Linked DNA regions of Oryctolagus cuniculus. The protein of the gene in region 1 binds, or shares a complex with, the protein of each later gene. Links are inferred from orthologs where the notes say so. Each region holds a gene or a part of one and is shown on either strand. Other genes may lie near its edges.

What was found.
Region 2: the proteins of NPR1 (region 1) and NPPA are in contact, whole or in part, in a crystal structure (PDB 7BRG), measured with the Rattus norvegicus proteins. The link is inferred for Oryctolagus cuniculus from reciprocal best matches to the Homo sapiens genes NPR1 and NPPA. Residues at the interface, in NP_036745.1 of Rattus norvegicus: Asp90, Val115, Tyr116, Ala119, Pro120, Arg123, Ala139, Leu140, Gly141, Ile142, Val144, Tyr148, Tyr182, Asp184, Leu186, Gly187, Asp188, Asp189, Arg190, Phe193, Phe194, Val196, Glu197, Tyr200, Met201, Arg204, His213, Gln214, Glu215, Phe216; in NP_036744.1 of Rattus norvegicus: Arg126, Ser127, Ser128, Cys129, Phe130, Gly131, Gly132, Arg133, Ile134, Asp135, Arg136, Ile137, Gly138, Ala139, Gln140, Ser141, Gly142, Leu143, Gly144, Cys145, Asn146, Ser147, Phe148, Arg149, Tyr150.

Annotation. Positions count from the first base shown.
Region 1 is NC_091438.1:44,638,343-44,641,842, reverse strand, and holds part of NPR1 (atrial natriuretic peptide receptor 1), read left to right. Parts: coding exon 1-33; intron 34-1,059; coding exon 1,060-1,195; intron 1,196-1,421; coding exon 1,422-1,506; intron 1,507-2,284; coding exon 2,285-2,405; intron 2,406-3,500. UniProt on the Homo sapiens protein: Receptor for the atrial natriuretic peptide NPPA/ANP and the brain natriuretic peptide NPPB/BNP which are potent vasoactive hormones playing a key role in cardiovascular homeostasis.
Region 2 is NC_091438.1:156,614,928-156,617,942, forward strand, and holds NPPA (natriuretic peptides A precursor), read left to right. Parts: upstream 1-1,134; 5' UTR 1,135-1,217; coding exon 1,218-1,340; intron 1,341-1,460; coding exon 1,461-1,787; intron 1,788-2,375; coding exon 2,376-2,387; 3' UTR 2,388-2,515; downstream 2,516-3,015.

The DNA of each region.
Region 1 (3,500 bases):
TGGGACATGGACCCTGAGACTGGGGCCTTCCAGGTAAGTGTGTGTGCCCAGCAGACGGGGCGAAGGTGGAGTGTCATCGCCCCTGCCCCATCTCCAGCCCTGCCAGGGTATTGGTTTTGTTTCATTTTTTAAAGATTTGTTTATGTATTTGAAAGAGTTACAGAGGGAGAGAGGGAGAGACGGAGGGAGGGAGAGAGAGAGAGAGAGAGAGAGAGAATGAGAATCTTCCATCCCTGGTTCACTCCCCAAATGGCCACATTGGCTGCAGCTGCACCAGGTTGAAGCGCTGAGCCAGGAACTCCATCCAGGTCTCCCACGTGGGTTGTGGGTGTCCAAGTACATGGGCTATTTTCAGCTGCTTTCCCAGGCCATTAGCAGGGAGGGAGCTGGATAGGAAACAGAGCAGCTGGGACTTGAACCCAGTGCCCATATGGGATATAGGTGTCGCAGGTGACGGCTCAACATGTTGCACCACAATGCTGGCCCCCGTGGGTGTTTATCCGGTTACCCTCCATACCTGGACACTCAGAAGCCCTGGATAAAAGGACCCAGCTCCAGGCTGAGAGGATTTCCGGGCATCGCCCTGAGTGAAGCTCGTGTCTGAAGAGGGAGCACAGCACGGCCCTGTGGTAGGCAGGACCCACTCCCTCGAGGGGCCACGAGGAATGCACATTACCCAGCTCTAGGCGTGCCATGAACAAGAAGGGATCGAGGCACCAAGGAGCAGATCATCCAGGGAAGGCTTCCTGGAGGAGGGACCTTTTTCCTGTTTTCTGTGTGCTGCAACCAAGATCATAAACTCCTAGTGTAGGGCTGGGGTTCTGTATGGCATTTCCTTTATCAACCCCTGGAGGAGTTTTCAGATCCTTATACATTAATGCCCTGGGCATGGGTAGGAGGTCTCCTTGTATCCAGTCACAGTGGGGGCTGGGTAAATGTTGACCACCCAGCTACAGGCCCTGGAAACAGAGAAGGGGTAGGCAGGAGGCAAGACTGTTACACTAGACAGGGGCCCTGAGCCCAGGCCGCTGCCCACCCACCACTCCTGCTGCCCTGTAGGTTGCTCTGAACTACAACGGAACTTCCCAAGAGCTGCTGGCCGTGTCAGGGCGCAAACTGTACTGGCCCCTGGGGTACCCTCCTCCCGACATCCCCAAATGCGGCTTTGACAACGAGGACCCAGCCTGCAACCAAGGTGACTGGCCCTTCCTTGTCTTCCGGCCTCTGATCCGGAGCCAATCCAGAGGCACTGCACCCTTTCCCCAAAGGAAGTCCCAGCAGGGCTCCTCTCCCACACTGCTTCCCAGGGAAAGACTGCTCCTGCCTTTCTCTTCCCTTCATCCTCACTGTCTGTTAGAAGCTTCTGCCTCCTGCAGTCTAACCCACACCTCTCCTGCTGCAACGCGGCCTCTCTCCTGCAGACCACTTTTCCACCCTGGAGGTGCTGGCTGTGGTGGGCAGTATCTCCCTGCTCAGCATTCTCATCGTCTCCTTTTTCATATACAGGTGAGCTGTGGCCGGGGCGGAGGTGGGGTGAATGGTGTGTGTGTGTGTGTATGTGAGAGAGAGAGAGACTTGGAGAACCAATCACAGAGGAGGTAGCAGGGACCCAGAGGGAAAGCCTGGTAAGATGGGGAGAAGAGACTCAGCAGCCTCAGGATGCAGAGGAAAGAAAAGGAGGAGAAAGGGGACAGGGTTAGGAGAGGCCAGGGTGGGCTGGGGGCTGGGAGGCCAAGAAGGAGCAGAGAAGTAGGGAAATGGCATCACAGGACCTTGGGCTCAGGCCTGGGCACTGGGTTCCCTTGCTGCTCCCACCGCCGGCCAGGTGGGAGGTGGCCCGTGGTAGTCGATGAGGGATGACGAGGCTAGCTGTGTCCCAGGTGCTGAACGCAGAGCACAGCAGAGTTGGATGAGCCCCCGCTCCTGCCTTCCAGTGGAGGCTAAGGTGGAGAGACAAGGGAGGCTACCGAACGGGAAAGCCAGGAGGGCGGGCGGATCAGTGTCTGTGGAGTGTGCGCCTGGAGCGTGCGCCCGGCGCCTGGCACCCCCACCCACCAGGTTTCGTTCACTCTTACAGTAGTTAAGGCCCTCAGTTTCCAAGCCAGGACACTGAGCTAAGTACCTCAAGACCCCCCATCGAGGCAGGTTTCACCCAGGTCTCCTGATGCCCCAGCCCAGGGGGTAGGATTCCTCCATCCATTGCTCAGGGTCCCCTGGCACTGAGGAGGGGCTGCTGAGCGCCCCCACCCGGGCTCGGGGCTCACACGCAGGCTTCATGCCCCAGGAAAATGCAGCTGGAGAAGGAGCTGGCCTCCGAGCTGTGGCGGGTGCGCTGGGAGGACCTGCAGCCGAGCAGCCTGGAGCGGCACCTCCGGAGCACAGGCAGCAGACTGACCCTGAGCGGGGTGAGCTCACTGGTGTTTGGGGGTGTTGGGAAGGTGATGGAGGAAAGCTGGGTACCAGGAGCCGTGCCTGAGGGGGCGGTAGAGAGCAGGTTCCAGTCCAGCTGCACCGTGACCTGCTGTGAGACCCTGAGTGAGTCGTACTCCTGCTGAGACACTTAGGAGATGATGGGAGCTGCAGAGTCTCCCCTGGAGGGGCTCTTTCGAAGGTCAGAGGATATCAGGACATCGCATTGCACCCCATGATACATATGCTTTATGTGTCAAGTTGAAAATAAAATAAGACTTTTTATAAATATTTATTTATTTACTTGAAGGGGAGAATGACACAGAGAAAAAATAAAGAATGACATAGAGAAAGATGGAACTTGATCCACTGGTTCTTTCCCTAAATGGCCTCAACAGCTGGAGCTGGTCCAGGCTGAAGCCAGGAGCCTGGAGCTTCATTTGGGTCTCCCTGAGCACAAGCCCAGGCACTTGGGCCATCTTCCTCTGCTTTCCCAGGCACATTAGAGGGAGCTGGATCAGAAGCAGAGCAGCCGGGACTTGAGCCAGTGCACTGATACGGGATGCTAGCATTACAGGCCATGGCTTATCTTGCTATGCCACAGTGCCAGCCCTAAAAAACTTTTCTTTGGAAAGACTTACTTGTTTAGTTTAAAGGCAGAGCAACAGAGAGAGAGGGAGAGATCTTCCATCCACTGATTCACTTCCCAAATGGTTGCAACAGCCATGGCTGGGCTGGACCAAAGCCAGGAGCCAGGAAACCCATCCTGGTGTCCCACAAGGGTGGCAGGGGCCCAGGTGCTCAGACCGTTGCCCACTGCCTTCCCAGGTGCGTTAACAGAAAGCTGGATCCGAAGGAGAGCAGCCAGGACGCAAACTCTCGCTCCTGTGTGGGATGCCAGCCGTGTTGCAAGCAGTGGCTTAACTCACTGCAGCATCACACTGGCTCAAAAATAAAACTTTTTAAAAAATATTTATTTGTTTGAAAGGCAGAGTTACAGAGAGGCAGAGACATAGACAGACAGAAAGACAGACAGTGGTCTTCCATCTGCTGGTTCACTCCCCAGATGACTGCAATGGCCGCAACTGTGC
Region 2 (3,015 bases), about 110 Mb from region 1:
CCTGAGAATCAGGCAGGCAGGGCAGGTGTCGACCTTGTAACCTCATTTAGCAGATAACGAAAATAAAGCCCTGGAGATGGTTCACTTGGGGCTATGAGTCTCTGAAGCCCTCAGCCCAAGTTTATGTCATATTGGATGGGATGCTAACCTTGACTTCAGCAAATGGAGGCTGCGTGCTAAGTGTGGAGAGCCTTGCTGCCCGATGCTTCTGGGGTGCTCATGGCTCAGTACTTGGCCTGGTCTCAGAGGAAGACGTGAAAGACGGCAGGGATCAGTGCCATTCTTGCCCCCACACCCTCCCTCCGTTAGCCAACTTCCCGAGGATGCTTCCCTGGGAACACAGGGGCCAATCCCAGGCTGGAGTTGAAGGAAGGAGGCAGGGTTTCCCCACTCAGTGAGGCAGAGATGTGAACGCGGCAGCATCTTCAGCGCCCACCCGCAAGGAGACTTGGGGAGGGACGATCCCGCTCCCCCAGGTTTCCTTGGTATTTATATTTAGCGGCTGAATTCTTGGGACATTCATCACATTTGTGTCCTGGCTGACTTAAGGCTATAAAAAATAACTTCTTTCCCCTGGCTGCTGAGAGGGCTGGCCAGGGTGAGGGCGGCCTGTCTGGGGCCAGCCGGCCGCCTGGCTGATGAGTCAGGTATGAAGCCAGCCCGGGCATCTGGACTCCCTCGTCCTGCTGCCCGCCCGCTTCCTCCTCTCCCACCCTTATTTGGAGCCCCTGACAGCTGAGCTGCAAACAAACCGGGGGAACTGGGCTTGGGCCAAGTGGCCCCTCTGCTTCCCCGCGTGGGTCCCGTTGCCCAGGAGAAAGAATCCTGAGGCATGGCAGGGAGATAACCAAGGACTCTTTTTTGCTCCTCTCACACCTTTGAAGTGGGAGCCTCTTGAGGCAAATCAACAAGAATGTGGCTCTTGCAGCTGAGGGTCCGGGGGGCGGCGGGGGCTGCTCAAGGCAGAGGGGCTGTGACAAGCTCTGCTGGCTGATAACTTTAAAAGGGCATCTTCTGTGGGCTCCTCACTCAGCTGCTTTATCTCTGCAAGTGACAGAATGGGGAGGGTTCCACTCCTCTTGTGCTCTCGGAGAGCCAAGGGGCTATAAAAGGAGGCTGCACTGGGCAGCTGGAAGACAGTGACGGACAAAGACCCAGGGGGAACCGAGAGGAAGGAAGAAGCAGCTAACGGCACATCACCCCCAACCAGCACCAGCATGGGCCCCTTCTCCACCATCACCGTGAGCTTCCTCTTCTGTCTGGCATTCTGGCATCCAGATCAAATTGGAGCTAACCCAGTGTACAACGCCATGTCCAACGCAGATCTGATGGACTTCAAGGTAGGGCCAGGAAGGGGGGCACAGTCTGGGGCCGGGGCGCTTTTAGATACTCGCCTGTTCCTCTCGATTTGCCCAAGTCAGTGAGCACTCTCCTTTTCCTTGTGTTTTCCTTTGGTAAAGAATTTGCTGGACCACTTGGAGGACAGGATGCCTTTTGAAGATGAAGCTGTGCCCCCTCAAGCACTAAGTGAGCAGAGTGATGAAGCTGGGGCGGCTCTCAGCCCCCTTCCTGAGGTCCCTCCCTGGACAGGGGAGGTCAGTCCAGCCCAGAGAGATGGGGAAGCCCTTGGGAGAAGCACCTGGGAGGCCTCTGAGAGATCTGCTCTCCTGAAAAGCAAGCTGAGGGCACTGCTCACTGCCCCTCGGAGCCTGCGGAGGTCCAGCTGCTTTGGGGGCAGGATCGACAGGATTGGAGCCCAGAGTGGTCTGGGCTGCAACAGCTTCCGGGTAAGAGGCACTGGGGGTGCAAATGGGTGGGGAGGAAGGAAACCGTTGGTTTGCAGGGGTTCAGACTTCATCAAAGAATCCTCACAGGAGCACCTTCATCAAGAAGGGACCTGTGTAGAAGCTTGTTTGTTCTGAGATTTCTGACCTAACTTGGGGGGGTGCGAGTCTCAGGACAATGCTATCGTCCTCGGCTACATCCTGGTGCAAAAATGCTAAGAAAAAAGAGAAGAAAAGAAAAGAAGGAAGGAAGGATGGGATGGAGGGAGGAAGGGAGGGAGGAAGGAAATGGCTGTCACTTTGGGAGAGTCTAGCATTCACAGGGCCCATCATCTTTGCATAGCTAATTGATGGTACATGTTCTTGCCAAGAATTGCGAGATTCTGAATGAGAATAGTGAAATTGACAAGGAATGCCATTACTAGCTCTGATGAGTAACTAGTTTACCGGTTTATGAAACCCAGGGCATCATCAGGCTGGAGTGGAGACTAGTGGGGAAGCTTTGTCAGGAGGTTTGGCACAGTCATGGGAAGCTGACTGTTCTGGTACAGTCAGGCCAGCAAGCCGAATGTGTTTGTGTTCACTTTGTAGTACCGAAGATAACAGCCAGGGAAGAAAGGCGGCCAGGTGCCCTCGGCCCACTGCAGGAACCCTCCTCCTCCTGCGTCTCTCAAGTCACTTTGTCTCATCTCATTGCATCGAGTCGTTACTGCACCTTATCTGAGCTGCAGCTTCTTGTCAACATTTCTCACACTTTGCTACCTGTAAAGCAGTCAAACTGTGACTTCTCCTCTCTCACCCAAAGCATTAACACTTAGTGTAGATCCTCACGTGTTACTGAGAGTCGATTGGAAAAAAATGAATAAACTTCAGCACCACGGACAGCGGCCATGACTTGGATTGTGGTTTCTTTTTCTTTTTTTTGCTTGATTTGTGCCTTTTATTTTTAAACATGCAAGGGGACTGATGAGGTTAGAGGGGGCACATTATTATGCCCTGACAGTTTGAATGTCTTGTGGTTGCCCGGTTTATCTTCTACTTCCTATTTTCAATCGAAGTAAAATAATCTTTAATTAGAAAATGAAAAATAATCTAAACAATAAATTCAAGCCATTGGCTCAGGTCTATTGGTTCATTATTAATAAGTGAATATATAAAACTACTAGTAACCATGTAGTATTGGACATTTTCACTCATGCATTAGAATATTAATACTCTAAAATCAGAACTG